Diceros bicornis minor: one gene and its partner. The protein of the gene in region 1 purifies or fractionates together with the protein of each later gene. This does not show direct contact. Links are inferred from orthologs where the notes say so. Each region holds a gene or a part of one and is shown on either strand. Other genes may lie near its edges. The genes, in order: CARNMT1 and RNF113A.

Region 1 (9,172 bases):
AAACAATGTGTATACAAAATTGCAACTGGATACTGGCTCCTGTGATTAAGAATATAAAGATTCACTAAGCGTACAAAGAGACCATTTTACAGGAGTCATATCTCTAGTTCCATAGTGGAGAGTGTGTTCGTTTTGTTTTGTTTTTTGCTGAGGAAGATTCACCCTGAGCTAACATCTGTGCCAGTCTTCCTCTATTTTCTATGTGGGTCACCGCCACAGCACGGCCGCTGACGAGTGGTGTAGGTCTGCACCCAGGAACCAAACCCAGGCCACCAGAGTGGAGCACACTGAACTTAACCACTAGGCCATGGAGCAAGCCCCTGTGCTCATTTTTTTAAGACCAAATTATGGTGTCCTTAGCCTAGATGCAGCTATTAGAACAAAGTACAAAGGCAAAACTAGCTAGTTCTAAGTCAAAGACAGTACTTGGAAAGAGCAGAATTAATGGAGGTATTCCAAGAATAAAAATCATAAATCCTAGACTGATGATGATTATAAGGGAAGCCTGGTATTGAGCCAAAGAAGCCACTAGCTGCTTTCTCGTTTTTTCTTGAAGTCCTTAGATCAATAGCAGTTTGAGTCTCTGTTGACATAAAAACAAGATATTTGACATAAAGAGTAAGAAATAGTTTACCTCCATAAACATATTCCTTGGGCAATCTAGTCTCTCAGTTTTGGTCAGCAAAATACATATCTTTTCTCGCCCATGTGGAATTTAAATCACTGTAAATAACAATCATTTGCAAATTAATAAGGTTTCCAAAACTAAAAGGACTTCATGAAACTTATTTAAGGATAAGTTAAGATCAACTTCAGTAGAGGCAGTAGATCCAGTGGTTAATAGTTTCTTGGGCTTATAGACATGCTTTCAAATTTGGATTTTACCATTTAATAGCTGTATGACTTGAGTAGCTTCAAACAGAATCATAGTGATAAAAGAACATCCTTTAGCAGATTCGCTATTGAGAAGAAATCCGAAATTAAGCAAATTGAGTCCGAAGGCCTGAGAATGCGGAGGCTGATGGTATAAGTCCTGGGCTGAGTCTGAAAGTCTGAGAACCAGGAGCACCGCTGTCTCAGCTCAAGCAAACTTACCCTTTTTCTGCTTCTTTGCTCATTTTAGGCTCTCAATGAACTAGATGATGCCCACCCACAATGTGAGGACAATTTTTTTTTTCTCAGTCTACTGGTTCAAATGCTAATTTCTTCTGGAGACATCCCACAGACACACCCAGAAATAATGTTTTACCAGTTGTCTGGGCATCCTTTAGCACAGTTAAGTTGACACATAAAATTAACCATCACAGGAATGCAATGTCAGGTAGTGCTAAGTGCTCTGAAGAAAAACAAAAATGGTTAAAGGAGCTGGAGTGTACGTGAAAAAAATAAAATGCTTCTAATAAAAAATAAAGTGTGATATGTTTGTCTAAGGGATACCTCATGGTATGAAAATGAACAAACTACACTTTATACAACAACATGGAAAAAACTTTAAAACATAATGTGGAGTAAAAGAAGCAAGACATGGTACCACGAGAAAACAATCAGCCAAACCCAAAATATGGGATATTCTGCAGGTCAAATGATTGAGGAATAAAAGAAAGGAGTAGTCATAATGTTCTGATTTTTTAAAACTAACTATAAAGAGACATCTTTGAGGCAACTGGGGAAATTTGAATAAGAACTGCATATTAGATGATAAGATTTATTATTAATTTTGTTGACAGATATAATAATGATGGCTATCTTTAAAAAATTCCTTTTAGACATGCATAGTAAAGTGTGTATGGGAAAAATAATATAATGTCTGAGAATTGCTTTAAAATACCCCTACAAAAATTCATGAACAAACAATCAACAAGGTGAGGTTAGATAAAACAAGATTAGTAAATAATTGTTGATAATTGTTGAAATTGGGTGAAGAGTTATAATAACATAAGAGATTTCTTATGTTATTGTCTCTATTTTTATATAACTTTGAAAATCTCCATAATTCAAATGTTTTAAATGAGAAAAGTATTTAATTTACTTAGAAACTTGTTTTGGGCTTAAATGTAAAAATGTATCCATAAGAATAAAGTAGAAGTTACAAGTTTATGTGTCATTATACTTTTTATTTTGAGATAATTGTAGATTCATATGCAGTTGTAAGAAATAATTCAGACAGATCTCATATACCCTTCACCCCAATGTCAATATCTTGCATAACTATAGTATAATATCACAATCAGGAAGTTGACATTGATACAATCAACTGATCTTATTCAGATTTCACCAGTTTGATAGGTATTCATTTATGTGTGTATGGCGTGTATATTAATTTCTATGCAATTTCATCACATGCATAGATCTGTGTCACCACCACCATAGTCAAGATACAGAATAGTTCTATCACAAGTTTCCCTTGTGCCACCCTTTTATAGCCGCAGTCTACCCTTCCTCACTACCACCCTCAACCTGGGGCAACCGATAATCTGTTCTCCATCTCTATAATTTTGGCATTTCAAGACAAAATACGTAAGTGGAATCATACAGTATGTAATCCTTTGATATTGGTTTCTTCCCCCCCGCTCAGCATAATTCCCTTGAGATTCATCTAAATTATGGAGTCTATCAATAGTTCATTCATTTTTTATTGCTGAGTAGTATTCCCTTGTATGAATGGCCACAGTTTAACTATTCATTTGCTGAAGGACATTTGGGTTGTTTCCAGTTTTGGGCTTTGACAAATAAAGCTGCCATGAACTTTCATGTACAGGTTTTTGTGTGAACACATGTTTTCATTTCTCTGGGATAAATGTCCAAAAGTGCAATTGTTGGGTTGTATGGTATGCACATGTTCAGTTTCATAAGAAACTGTTATACTCTTTTCCTCAGTGGCTGTACCATTTCACATTCCCATCAGCAATGATGAATGTATGAATGTGTAGCTTTAACTGCTTAACTCACAGTTCTTCAGAATAACTAAAAAAAGAATTATGGTGTTTTGTGGTTACTAATTTCTGGAGATTAACTGACTTCCGTCTGATGAAAACATTCCAAAACTTTCAGCCCAATGGCTCCATGACTTGGGAAGATTTCTATAGGAGAAACTCATTGCAAAGAAGTTAGGTTAAGGAAGCGTTAAAAGTGTTTTAAAACAAGGCCAAAAACTTATTCTAAAGACATCTGAAAGGAGGAGAGAAAACATTTATTGGGCTGATATATCAGGCATTTGTCATTCTTTATCTCATTTATTCCTCCTCATGACCCTGTAAAAAAGTAATATTATATCCATTTTAGAAATAATACAATCGAGGCCTCAAGTAACTTTTCAAACAGGTCACAGTTACTAACTGGTAAAGCAAGAATGAGACGCCCATGTTTCCACCAGCTTCTAGCTGCCTTTAGGGCAGTACAAGAAACATAGGAGGCCATCAACACATTTGTTGAAAAGAATGAATGAATAAATGAACTTCAGCTCTGCTATTTATGTGTCCCTGGGCAAGAAAATTAATTTCTCTGAGTCTGTTTCTTCATTTGTTAAAGGAAGATAATAATAACACCTCCTTCAGAGAGTTGAATTAAGGAACAAAGAAGGGAAAACAATAGGGAAAAACAATTTGAAAAATGTAAAATGTTAAACAGATGTTAGACAGAATAATATTTTTTTGTGTGTGAGGAGATCAGCCCTGAGTTAACATCCTCCTCTTTTAGCTGAGGAAGACTGGCCCTGGGCTAACATTCATGCCCATCTTCCTCCACTTTATATGGGACGCCGCCACAGCATGGCTTGCCAAGTGGTGCATCAGTGTACGCCCGGATCGGAACAGGCGAACCCCGGGCCACGGCAGCGGAGCGCACGCACTTAACTGCTTGCGCCACTGGGCCGGCCCCCAGAATAATATTTTAAAAGTACAGTCAGTGTCATAATCAAATACTGATAAAATAAAGACATAAGACCTGGGTAGGTGGGCGCAGTGCCAGTAATTTACTGTGTGGCCCTATGATGATCACTTAATATGTCCGCTCCTCCAGTTTCTTCATGTACAAAATCACAATTGAGTTTAAAGCTGAGCACCTTAATGACACAGACCCTAAGATTCTCAACAAATTATGAAACAGAACCAAGAAAGCCTCTATTCAAATTAATTTGAAAATGTTTATTATACTTCCCAAGATGTTCACAAGTATGTAGCTGATTATCATTATCCACAGCATTCTGGCCTTTATCAATTAGGTCATTTGGACCTATATCAATACATATCACAAATTATGACATGTATAACTTGCGTATGTGTATATGAAAATAGTATTGGTAACAATTAATAATATGAGAATTTATACATAATTTCCAAGCACCAGTCTCTAAGAAAAATAGGCACTGGATAGAAAAATCTGGAAGAATAGAAAAAGAATCAGTATATTGTCTGGGGAGGGGATATGGGTGGCTAGGGACAGGGATAAAGAAACTCCACATTTGTAACCCTCTGCACTTTCCTTTTGAATTCTGAACTATGTATGACTTCATTACTATTCAAAAATAGACTGACATTTTATAAAAATTTTGTATAAAAATATAACATTAACATGGAACCACCACAGTATATTTTTAGCATTGTCTTTATTTCACTTAAATCGTGAAAGTATGAAGGCACTTTATTTGCAATATATCTTTTTAACAGAAATTGTGGTCCCTATGCATGTTTAACTCTTTTAAATAAAACACTCTTTCCCTTTATTTTGTGAGACTGATTTAATTGAATGGAATGAGTTATTTCCTAAGAATTACATTAAATGCAGGTAGGGCAGCCGTTTTAGCCCCGGGCCCAGAGAGAAATGAGGCAAAAGGTGAACGCAGGTGAAGAAGAGAAAGAGGTTAAGCCCGGCATCGCTAAGGGCCACGGTTAGATGCTAGTGGATGTCCCTGCGCCAATGCTGGGGCATTAAGACTCCTGTGCGCTTCGAGGGTCCTCCCCAGCACGGGTACTGGATAGAGTTACATCCCTGCATTTTCCTCATCTGCTGCCATCAGGGCAGGATTGGGACTTTGGCAGGCTCCTAAACACTGGAAAGATGATGGTGTCTCTCTCCCCGTATGTAATTAAAAATAGAAGTTTATTTAGGAAATAAAACTTAATTAGGATGAATGCAACACCTTCCTTCTAGACTTTCTGAAATAAAAATTCCCAATAAATTCATCAAAGCTGAACTTTTTTTCTGCCTTTCCCTCCTTTTCTAATACTTTAGCCTTACTCCAACTGCCTGCTCCAGAATCCAGCCCTCGCAGGCTGTGGAACCCCACCCACCTGGCTGCTCTCAGGTACCAGCCCCACCCCACCCCACCAGGAATCTCCTCCTTCGTTCCTCCCACCTGGCCATTAGCTCCGCCCACTGGGCGCATCGTCGTGACGTCAGCGCGCCGTCGCCGACGCCCGGCAGCAAATGAACGCAGGCGGCCGCGGTCCTCCGTCGTACCTTGGCATGCGCATGCGCACTCGTTCCGGGCGCTCTGAAGACCTGGCGGAGCCCGGCGCGGAGGGAGGCCTGAGGGTGGCGGGGGCGGAGCGCGCTGCGAGCTGGGGGCATGTCCGCGGCGGGCGCCGTCTAGAGGGAGGCCGAGCAGCCGCCACCACGCTTTCAGTCGCGGCGAGACGCAAGCGAGCCAGGCCGAGGGCCGCGGCGGCGATGCAGCGACGGCGGCGCCCTCCGCCGCCCGCCTCTCGGCTGCCCGAGGGCTGCGGAGGCGGCGGCGGCGGCCGCAGTGGCGGCGGCGGGAGCGAGGAGGTGGAAGTGCAGTTCTCCGCCGGGCGTTTGGGCTCCGCCGCGGCGGTTGCGGCGGCGGCGGCCGCGCGCAGCACCGAGGAGGAGGAGGAGAGGCTCGAGCGCGAGCACTTCTGGAAGATCATTAATGCCTTCCGCTACTACGGGTAAGGAGCCCGGGGCGGACCCCGGCCTAGCCCGTGGGGGCGCCCGCTGGTTGCGGCGGACCCGCCGGGACGATGGCGCCAGCCGCGCTCGCTCTCCGGCCGCCACGCCTCCGGCGCCCGGACCGGGCCGCCTGAGCTGACCTCGGGGCCCCGAGTCACCTTAGCGCCCCCCTGCCCGGGCCCTGCACGCTCGCGTGTCTGCCGCGCCGTCTGCTGCTCAGCCTCCTGTCTTCTAACCTGAGGATCAGATTAGCTCTCTTGCCTTCCACCCCTCGTTAAAGGTTTGGCTTTGAGGCCGGTGGGGTTTACTGGAGAAGTGCTATAACAATTTCAGGTAGAAGATGATGGTGGTAAAATCGTCCAGGGCACGGCGTGGTGTGTATGGGTTGTCTCCAAACTGAACACACGGAGAGCCCAAGTTCACCTACACGTGGGATGCTGTAGGACGTTTTTTCCCAAACTGTTGCCACTTCTTGTGAGAGCAGCTTAAGATTTCCACCCCACCCCCCACCCGCCTTGGCGCTGTGAACGTACAGGCACATTTGTGGTGAGCGAGTGAATGATCCCGTTCAATTTCTTTAACTGGTGGGTGAAATTAAGGTCAGAGGTGGGCCGGATGTACTAAAATTTGCTTATTATTAAGGAGGGAAATGAGAGAAGATGCAGTAAGAGTTGCCTTTATGATCTTTTATTTTCAAATATGTATCGAATTCTCACTGTGGGCTGGGCACGGTGGTAGGACTTTTAAACTTCTTGATTTCCACTTTTCATCTTTTTAGATAGATGTTAAAATAGCTTAGTCGCAAAATTATAATTTCAAGATCTGAAAGGGACTGAAATCAACTAGATTTTCGGGTTAAAGATGGCACTTTTATTCGTCTAAGACATGAGTCCGCCGACGGCTGTGTTCTGAGTCTGCCATTGGAAATCAGACAGACAGGACCTCCTACGCAAGTTAAAACTGTTCCCTTAGATGGGCTCCTGCTGTGCTTTGTGCAGACTTTTTTATGTTGCTTGACTGTGACCTCCTCAGGGACAGGGACTGAATCTTATTTACTTTTTCGTCGCCAGCCTTTGGCGTATGTTGTTGAAGCTCTGTTTTTAACAAATAAGACAAATAGTAGCAAAGAAATACGTTTGTCATTGCTAAATAAGTAGCAAAGAAATACATTTGTCATTCCTCAATAGTCTATTTGTGACTAATGGGTAAATTAGTTTGTTACTATTCTGAATTTAGAAACTTGGTTAGTAAAAGCTTCAAGTTATTTAGAAATGACATGAATTTTTGAAGTTCGAAGATCTTGATGAAATAGTTTACTCATTAAACCCAGGCCTGGGAACTGTGGACTGCATTACTTATGGAGCCCAAAAGGGAATTCGTAGTATTCGTAGTATTTAGTATCAACAGAGGGAGGAAGGCAGACAATAAGAGAATTGAATTTGATGCAAGTTTTGTGCCTGGAAGAACCAGGCGGGCAAGGAAAGTAGCTGACATTAGATAGCTAAGAGTGGTAGGTGCAGAAAAGTCGGGTACATTTTACTATAGAAAAATCTAGAAATAATATTGGAAAATGTCTTGGGAATATAGTGGACCCAATTAGTTAAAATGTGTTTGTACTCAGTTCTAATATGTTAGGACTAATTTAGAATTGATATTTGTGATTAGGTATTAGATGGGCCTTTTTTTCGGGGGTGGAGGTGGGGGGTAGCAGGGGAACTTTTACCTGGAACTGGGACCCAAGTGTGGCAATATAGAAAAGAGTGCTTGTGTGAGCCTTCTAGTGGATGTGATACCGTTTCCTATACTCTCATCCCTCTTCTTTACCAGTTAATGTGGGGTTGAGGAAAATTTCATTTTTTTAAAACAACCCTTTTTATTTGCATGGACTCTCTTGATGAAACACTTCAAATTCCTAAACTGAAAATAGTATGCAATAAAAAATATGCTTTTAAAATATCAGTTAAAGGACTGAGAGTGTGGAAAGCATTGTGTAGCAGAAAACACACTGGAATTGTTACATTCCAACATTTTGTGGTTTTCTAGATCTGCACTATCTCATACTGTAGCCACTAATAACATCTGGCTAAATTTAAGCTTAAATTAATTAAAATTTAATAAAATTTACAATTCATTTCCTCAGTCTCACTAACTACATTTCAAGTGCTCACTGGCCACATGTGGCTAGTGTCTGCTGGATTGGATAGTGCAGGTGTAAACCTTTCCGTCTTGCAGTAAGTTCTGATGGACAGTCCTATTCTAGACTTTCAGCGGGTACTTCCAAACTTTAGAGAGTTTGGTTTTACTGCTAAATGTCTTTTAAGATTAAGATTATAGGAGATTAAGATTAAAGGTCATAGAGCAAGAAATGTCCTTTGATTGATGTTTTCTCTTTCCAATGGCTTCCAATTTTGTACTTCCTACAGATTTTGCTTAGATGATGTATTCTGACTAAGGTAAAAATGATTATAGCCTTGTACTGAATAACAAAAACCGTTTGCCTTAAAATACCCCTCTTGTTGAATGAAGATACCTAGTCACATAGAAAATACTACAGTTGAAAAATCAAAGGTCTTGTCAGAAACATCCTACTTTTAGAAATAGTGGTTAGATGAGATGTTTAAAATTGAGATGTAGAGTCTATTTTTACAGGTGAGGGGATAGGCATATAAAGAGGTGAGCAACTTGCTCAGGGTTACACAACCAAATTGTGGTAGATTCTGGCCTGAAATTCAAAATTGTTCACTAAAATTTTACCCTTATTAGTAAGTAAATTACTAGTGTTAGTAAGTAGTGATAATAGTAAGAAAATTTTAACTTTGGGTATGTAATAGATATTTAAAATGGGATTGGACAGACGTTCCTTCTGAAAAGATATGCTTTTCTGTTTGCAATTCTAGAGTAGTTCAACAGGTGCAGAGGAATGGGCCTATGACCTTGGACCCTGGCTCAGACCCAGCATTGGATTGACCCTGATGAAAGGTGACTAAGTCAGAGTTGGGGTCACTGCCAACCCTTGAGGAAATATGACTGCTGACTCTACTGTATTCTCCCCTTAGCCAGCAGAGGATGTGGCCACTTGATGCTGGCTGACTTCTGAACCAAGGAGAGTCTGAAGGTTGTAAAACATTCCTTTAAAGCGGGGTTGGCAAACTTTCTTTAAAGGGCCAGGCAATAACTATTTTAAGCTCTGGGGGCTAGGTGGTCTCTGTTACAACTATTCAACTCTGCCCTTGTGTGGAAGCAACCATAGGCAATGTGTGAA
Region 2 (7,316 bases), on another chromosome or scaffold:
TGAAGAATTCAAACCCTAATGCTGAACCTGACCAATTTCTACCTGTCATTCTGTAGCCCCTATATTCATCTAAGGAGGTAAACTTAGTGGATGATCCCTGCCTAGAGGCACAGCAGAGATAACAGACCTCAAAATCAATAGGTTTAGTGACGGATTCAGTACGTTGTCAATAAGTCTTCTCTATCTCCATCTGTACTACCTGCCCTCTTTCTTCCTTTCCAAAGATAGTTCTCATAACAATCAACTAAATGAGGCCTGTGCAGCACTAAATGTAGACTAGAGGTTGATTAAGTTTGTAGTCATGACCACGGCTTTCCTTGAACAGTTTCATCTTCACAGGGTGGCACAGTATAGAGTATTACTCTAAGTGTGATTGCCACCTCCTTCCTCTCTAAGTCCTGCCCTGTCAGATGCAGTCAACGGAAACCACACAGTGCAGGTGTGTTTAAGGTCATAAGCAGATCAAATGTTACACTAGATAAAAGATGGAGATGAAAAACAATTTAGATTTCTCACCTACAGGTCCTGTGGCCATCTGGGGTGTGGATCTATACACATGGAGTATCACCATCTTTACAGCAGTTATACCTTTTCAGATCTTCATATTATTTGGTTACCTTTAATGTTGAACATGCAACTCTTTATTTCAAGTGGTCAGTACACTCATTTTATTAAACATGATTGTTGCTGCTCTACACTAAAACAAAAATCAACACTTAAGCAAATACTGTGTGTTAGATACAGAATGAATGAAAGTTGAAGGTGCAACGTTTTAAAGCATCCTAACTGGAATTTTATTTTTTATTTTTTTTCCCCCAAAGCCCCAGTAAATAGTTGTATATCATAGTTGCACATCCTTCTAGTTGCTGTATGTGGGACGTGGCCTCAGCATGGCCGGAGAAGCGGTGCGTCGGTGCGCGCCCTCCGAACCCGGGCCACCAGCAGCGGAGCGCGCAAACTTAACCGCTAAGCCACGGGGCCGGCCCCTAACTGGAATTTTAAACACTATAGGATTCACCCAGAAAAGGAACTAGAAAAAAAGTACTACTCTTTCTGTATTCTCCTGACAATCTCTGAAGAAACAATGTTTTTTAGTATATTAGTATCTATTACAATAGTAGCAACTGCCATTTATGACACATTAGATGTTGGGCACTGTGGCAGGTGCTTGGTGTACATTTTTTTTTGTTTTGTGAGGAATATCAGCCCTGAGCTAACATCCATGCTAATCCTCCTCTTTTTGCTGAGGAAGACCGGCTCTGAGCTAACATCTATTGCCAATCCTCCTTTTTTTTTTTTTTTTCCCCAAAGCCCCAGTAGATAGTTGCATGTCATAGTTGCACATCCTTCTAGTTGCTGTATGTGGGACACAGCCTCAGCACGGCTGGAGAAGCGGTGCGGCGGTGCATACTCCAGATCCAAAGCCGGGCTGTCAGTAGTGGAGCGCAGGCACTTAAGCGCTAAGCCACGGGGCCGGCCCCACTTGGTATACATTATGTCTGTAATTTTACAAGCCTCAGTCGCTTTCCAGTTTTTTTAAAGTGATAAAGCTACATTGGGTAGACTGCTTGATCTTGTGTAGTACTATTAAAAAAAGTAAAGAAAACCTTCGATTTTACTTTTTCATTTTATTTTTATTAGGTACTACATAATACATTACATAATCTTCTAGCAGGGGTAGATGAGTATAACTGAGTTATTTTTCATCAATCAGGAAAATGCTTCCTTAATCAATGTTCTCCAAACCCTGAAAAACAGTTTAAAAAGGAAAACGTGAAAATTATTTTCCCATCAAAAATGTACACATACTCTTATTTCCAGTGTCACCAAATGGCATTCTCTGTCATTTAAGAAAGTACTTCCACATCCCACATTGCTCTAACTCTAACAATAAATTGGACTGAATTTTATAATCACTAAAGTAAAAAGAATAACCTATAATGATTTCTAGTTTTCTTTTTCTGACAGCAGCAAACATTATCACTTTACATAAAAAGACCCTCCCATATCAAAACTAAAGGCAAGCAACTACATAGTTACCATCTGCATCCTTCTATAAAGTACCCTCAGAGAGTCAGAGGACAGTAAGATAAAACCGTTTTATAAAATAACAGTCAACATGAGGAAGATACTATTAGCCTCATTCCACTGTTTTACAGATGAAGAAATGGAGGCTGAGAGAGGTTTAAAGTTGCTTGCTTAAGTCAGTAAGGCAGTAGCAGAGCCAGAATTCAAGTTTAGGGACTCCTCCAACTCCAGAACTCTTGCCCTGTAAGCATGACACTATTTATTCAGAAGACCCACTCTGTCTTACTCAGTTCACAACCAAATACTTCAGAAACTATAAAGTAAAAGATTAAGTAAAAGAAATGATGACATTTCTTCCAGGTGTTAAAATAACACAGTCCAGATATTTTGTTTACTATTGTAGGAAGAATCACCTTGAGACAAATTAAAATTGCATAGTCCTAGGGGCCACCTTGTAGAAATCCTAATTCATTTGGTCTGGCCAGGGGCCTAGGAATCTGTATTTTATCTCATATGCCAGGTGATTCTGATGGTTATTCTTGGACCATACTTGAGAAATACTGCTCTAGATTTGTAGATATCATCACGTAGATTAGATTAGATTCTCAAATATATACTGAGGGGCAGATCACCTAGGTTGAGTCCTTATAGTGTTATTTAATCGTTCTGACTCTCTATTTTTTCATCTATAAAATGGAATTAATATTTACCCAAGTTCACTGAAGAATAAATGAGCAAGAAGAAAATATAAAAAACTAAAATATTTTAAAAGAATAATGAAGACGAACTCCTACAAGATATAAGAACATACTATTAGGTTGAACCATATGAAAATGCTACTACTTGGCCATTTTTAACCTACAAAAAACAGCAATTTCATATGATTCAAGCACATACAAAATTATAGTGCTTCTTTACATATGGTATTGGTGCAGGAATTGGCAAACCAATGGAGTATAGAAGAGTGCATTCATGAAACAGGCCCAGGTGTATATGGAAATTTAGTTTACTAGAGTGGTATTTCAAATAAAAAAATGGACTATTCTATAAATGGATAATTGTGACAACTGGCTATCTCTTAGAAAAAAGAAAAGTCAAATCCTGGCTTCACATTATGTCCCAAAATGACCTGTAGAAGGGTCAAAGCACTAAATGTAAAAAGAGAAAAGAAAAGAAAAAAGAAACTGTAACAGTATTTAGAAAAATTGTAAGAATATATTTTTACAATCTTGGGTAGCAAAGTCATTTGTAAGCAAGACAAAAAACCCCAAATCCAGAAGGATAAACTATGATAAACTGAACATCAAAATTAAAAACTACTATCTGATGAAAGACATCGTGAAGTGAAAAAGACAAACAGCAGACTGGGAAAAATATTTGCCACATATAAAATAAAAGATTAATATTCATAATACATAAAGAACTGCTATAAATCAAAAAGAAAAAGACAACAGAACAAGCAAAGATTATAGGCAAACAATCCACAGAATAAGAAATACAAACGATTATTAAATATGTAAAAAGCTACTCAACCTCACTAATAGACAAGAAAATGCAAACTAAATTAGCACTGTAAGACTTTTGGCAAAATATTACCAGAACCCACCTCCGTGACAGATGGCTAGCATCAGAACCATCTTACCTTTGACTTATAGTAATGATTAACTCCAGAGATGCGCCTATCTCTTTCCATCAAACTCCACTGATATGGATAATAGGCAACCCTTTTTTCCTACAATTAAAAGAAATTATTATTGCAGTTTATAAACATAAGTGACCCAATAGAGGGATACTAGAACTTTAATAAGTGACATTATAGAAAAATGGAATCATCACTGAAATAAAAACCAAATTAACAATAGAAGACAATAATCCTAAATAAAATCGGACGACTAAACTTTAGAATTAAGATGGTAACCATGAGTTCTTACACTTTCCTATTTTAACCAGCATCATTTTTTTTCTTTCCTCCTTTTTTTAAAAGATATGACTACTTGTTTCCTTTTGGGACCCTAATGAGAAGAAACAACAGTGGTAGATCACACGTGAAGGACAATCACAAAAGCAGAAAGCAAACACATTTACACTCTGTATTCCAGAGATGATGGGAAGGACTAGGAAGAGAGGAAAATTACAATCCTGATGTGAATAACAGGATCTTGCGGTAAATTCCTAAAGGCTTGCAAGAAAAAGTGGGAGATAAAAAACGTCAAGGTAAAAACCTAATTAAGGGTAGGGAACACGTCAAAAACGAAGCTACCAAGACGTGGATGCGAGAAATTAAAATCAAAATCCAGCAAGAAAGGAGATTGGAGGTCGGAGGAAGCGGGGACAAAACTAATTGATGCCTCTCTCTGCCTCTACTCTGCCCTCTTGCCCACTCTTCACCCAGCAACTTCTTGCTAGAGTAGAATGTGGTTTCCGTTGGGCTTCATTCCGCAAGCCTCTGCTTTTAGGCAACACGAAGAAAGGAGAGGGCCGACCTTGGGACTCCCCATCTCGGAGAGAGGCTCCGGGTTCTACCGGCCTCCCTACCCCACCGCCCAGTTTGTAACGCCAATCCGCGGAGTCAGCCGTCGGGCCGCAGAAGCTGCCTTACCTTGCCCCCGTTAGTGAACCTGTTGAGGCGCGCCGTGGCCATTCCGGGGATGAACAAGCACACGGCCATGACGGCCATCCCGGGAAGAATTTCGAACCACATCGCAACACGGTTACCGGGACCAGACACTTCCTCCCAGGCCCCTTAAAGGTGACCCGGCTTCGGTCCCTTCCGGGTAAACTCCGCGGCAGCCCGCGAGCGGGGCGGGGTCACGTACGCCTCTGGAGGAAGCGACGGAGTCCGGCAGGGTTCAAGAGTGGCGTGTGCTCGCGCTCCCGCGCTCCCGCAGTCTTCCTTCTGCAGTCTGTTTTGCTCCGAGTCGCGGCGGAGCGCACGCCGTGCAGTGACGCGAAGAGGCCCCGCGCGAGCAGCCGTTTCGGAGCTCGGGACTCTAAAATGGCGGAGCAGCTTTCTCCAGGAAAGGTGACAGACCAGGTGTGCACCTTCCTCTTCAAAAAGCCTGGGCGGAAAGGGGCTGCAGGCCGCAGAAAGCGCCCAGTCCGCGACCGAGAGCCCGAAGACAGCAGCAGCAGCGGTGAAGAAGGCAGCACTGTGGTTCGCCCGGAAAAGAAGAGGGTGACCCACAATCCGATGATACAGAAAACCCGTGGCAGTGGTAAACAGAAGGCGGTTTACGGCGACTTCAGTAGCGAGGAAGAGGAGGAGAAGGAGCCTGAGAGTCTCGGCGTGGTCTACAAGTCCACCCGCTCGGCGAAACCCGTGGGCCCAGAGGATTTGGGGGCGACTGCTGTCTACGAGCTAGACACAGAGAAGGAGCGTGACGCACAAGCCATCTTTGAGCGCAGCCAGAAGATCCAGGAGGAGCTGAGGGGCAAGGAAGATGACAAGATCTATCGGGGAATCAATAATTATCAGAAATATATGAAGCCCAAGGATACGTCTATGGGCAATGCTTCCTCCGGGATGGTGAGGAAGGGCCCCATCCGAGCTCCCGAGCATCTACGTGCCACCGTGCGCTGGGATTACCAGCCCGACATCTGTAAGGACTACAAGGAGACTGGCTTTTGCGGCTTCGGAGACAGCTGCAAATTCCTCCATGACCGTTCAGATTACAAGCATGGGTGGCAGATCGAACGTGAGCTTGATGAGGGTCGCTATGGTGTCTATGAGGACGAAAACTATGAAGTGGGAAGCGATGATGAGGAAATACCATTCAAGTGTTTCATCTGTCGCCAGACCTTCCAAAACCCAGTTGTCACCAAGTGCAGGCATTATTTCTGCGAGAGCTGTGCACTGCAGCATTTCCGCACCACCCCGCGCTGCTATGTCTGTGACCAGCAAACCAATGGCGTCTTCAATCCAGCGAAAGAATTGATCGCTAAACTGGAGAAGCATCGAGCTGCAGAAGAGGGTGGTGCTTCCGATTTCCCAGAAGACCCCGATGAGGGTCCAATCCCCATTACTTAGTTTTCCCATTATTCTCAAAAATCAAAATAAATATTTTGTTGTTTTGGAAATGTTAATTCGTGTCCTTCCTTTCCAGGGAAAGTGTCAGAGGAAAAGGCGGGTGGTGAAGTAGGGTCCTGGATGGATACCTTGTAAAAGCATCGAGGTAGGTATAATCTGAATTTTTACCTTGTATAAATGCTGCCTGTGTGTAACAGATCCTTTTCAGAATCCTTTGGCTTAAATTCTGGGGATGGGAGAAGTTCAAGAAAAGAGCTAGAATTCGCTGAAATAACCAAAGCTGTGATGAAAGCAAAAACTGAACCTATTTGTTATATCACATTTCCGTATCAATAGTTTACAAAAGTACTTGCATGCGTTATCTCTACTGGGAGCCTATACTACTTCAAATACACCCCAGCCAAGGTGCGTGTGTGTTGTGGGGGAGGGGGGTGTTGAGTGGGAGAATTCGGTTGGGGGACTTGTAGCTAGCACCACAGGGTCCACCACATTCTATAACAATGTATAAAGTATAGTGGGGATACATGAGAAGCCTACTGGGAAAATGGCTTAATAAATCATCACACACACACACAAAAGAAGTCATCACACGGGAAACAGCATTTAAGGGAGGGGACAAAGTAATAGAGCCGAATAGGAAACAGGAAAGAGGACGTTGTAGAGGCAGACTGAGAAACAGGAGTGTACACTGCCATAGAAGGCAAAGGAAGACAGTGTTCTAAAAAGTGTCATGGAAAGAAATACGGTAATGAGTAGCAAAAGAATCACAAAAATGGTTCATTTTTTTTTTACTATTCCTTAGAATTTATACTAAGAAAGTTATTCAAAAGTAGAATAAAGCTTTATGGAAAAAGATATACATTGAATTGCTACCTATTATATATAATAAGCTGAGGGAAAGGGTCTGGGAGAAAACAAATATGAAAGAAAAAGAATGCTGCTGCTGACTAAGCTCTAGAAGGTGGCTAGAACTGAGAAGAGGTGGGATTAAAGGCATAAATCAAGAAGTCTTAGAGCTGAGAGAAAGAAAAGGAGAAAGATGATATTCGTCTAATACTCCACATGCATTTTTTAATACCTGTCAGTGAATCTTACGAGTATACAAAATATATGCAAATGAGTATTATTCTTGGGATCCACAACATTCAGCAGATTCTTAAAAAGGATCATAACTACAGAAAAGCACGTAAATTGATAGTGGCCTCACAGTATTTTTCATGTTTACAAGTTTATAATTTCATTTTTTAGAAGTCAGAACTAT

What was found.
Region 2: the proteins of CARNMT1 (region 1) and RNF113A purify together in Homo sapiens (affinity purification with mass spectrometry; 3 studies listed by BioGRID and IntAct, counting the BioPlex papers as one, with this or other methods). This does not show direct contact. The link is inferred for Diceros bicornis minor from reciprocal best matches to the Homo sapiens genes CARNMT1 and RNF113A.

What each region holds. Positions count from the first base shown.
Region 1 is NC_080761.1:18,786,003-18,795,174, forward strand, and holds the start of CARNMT1 (carnosine N-methyltransferase), read left to right. Parts: upstream 1-5,564; 5' UTR 5,565-5,667; coding exon 5,668-5,909; intron 5,910-9,172.
Region 2 is NC_080781.1:110,359,750-110,367,065, reverse strand, and holds RNF113A (E3 ubiquitin-protein ligase RNF113A), read left to right. Parts: upstream 1-4,863; 5' UTR 4,864-5,023; coding exon 5,024-6,055; 3' UTR 6,056-6,111; downstream 6,112-7,316. Other genes in the region: NDUFA1 (NADH dehydrogenase [ubiquinone] 1 alpha subcomplex subunit 1), read right to left, coding at 1,727-1,747, 3,671-3,760, 4,628-4,729. UniProt on the Homo sapiens protein: Required for pre-mRNA splicing as component of the spliceosome. As a component of the minor spliceosome, involved in the splicing of U12-type introns in pre-mRNAs. E3 ubiquitin-protein ligase that catalyzes the transfer of ubiquitin onto target proteins.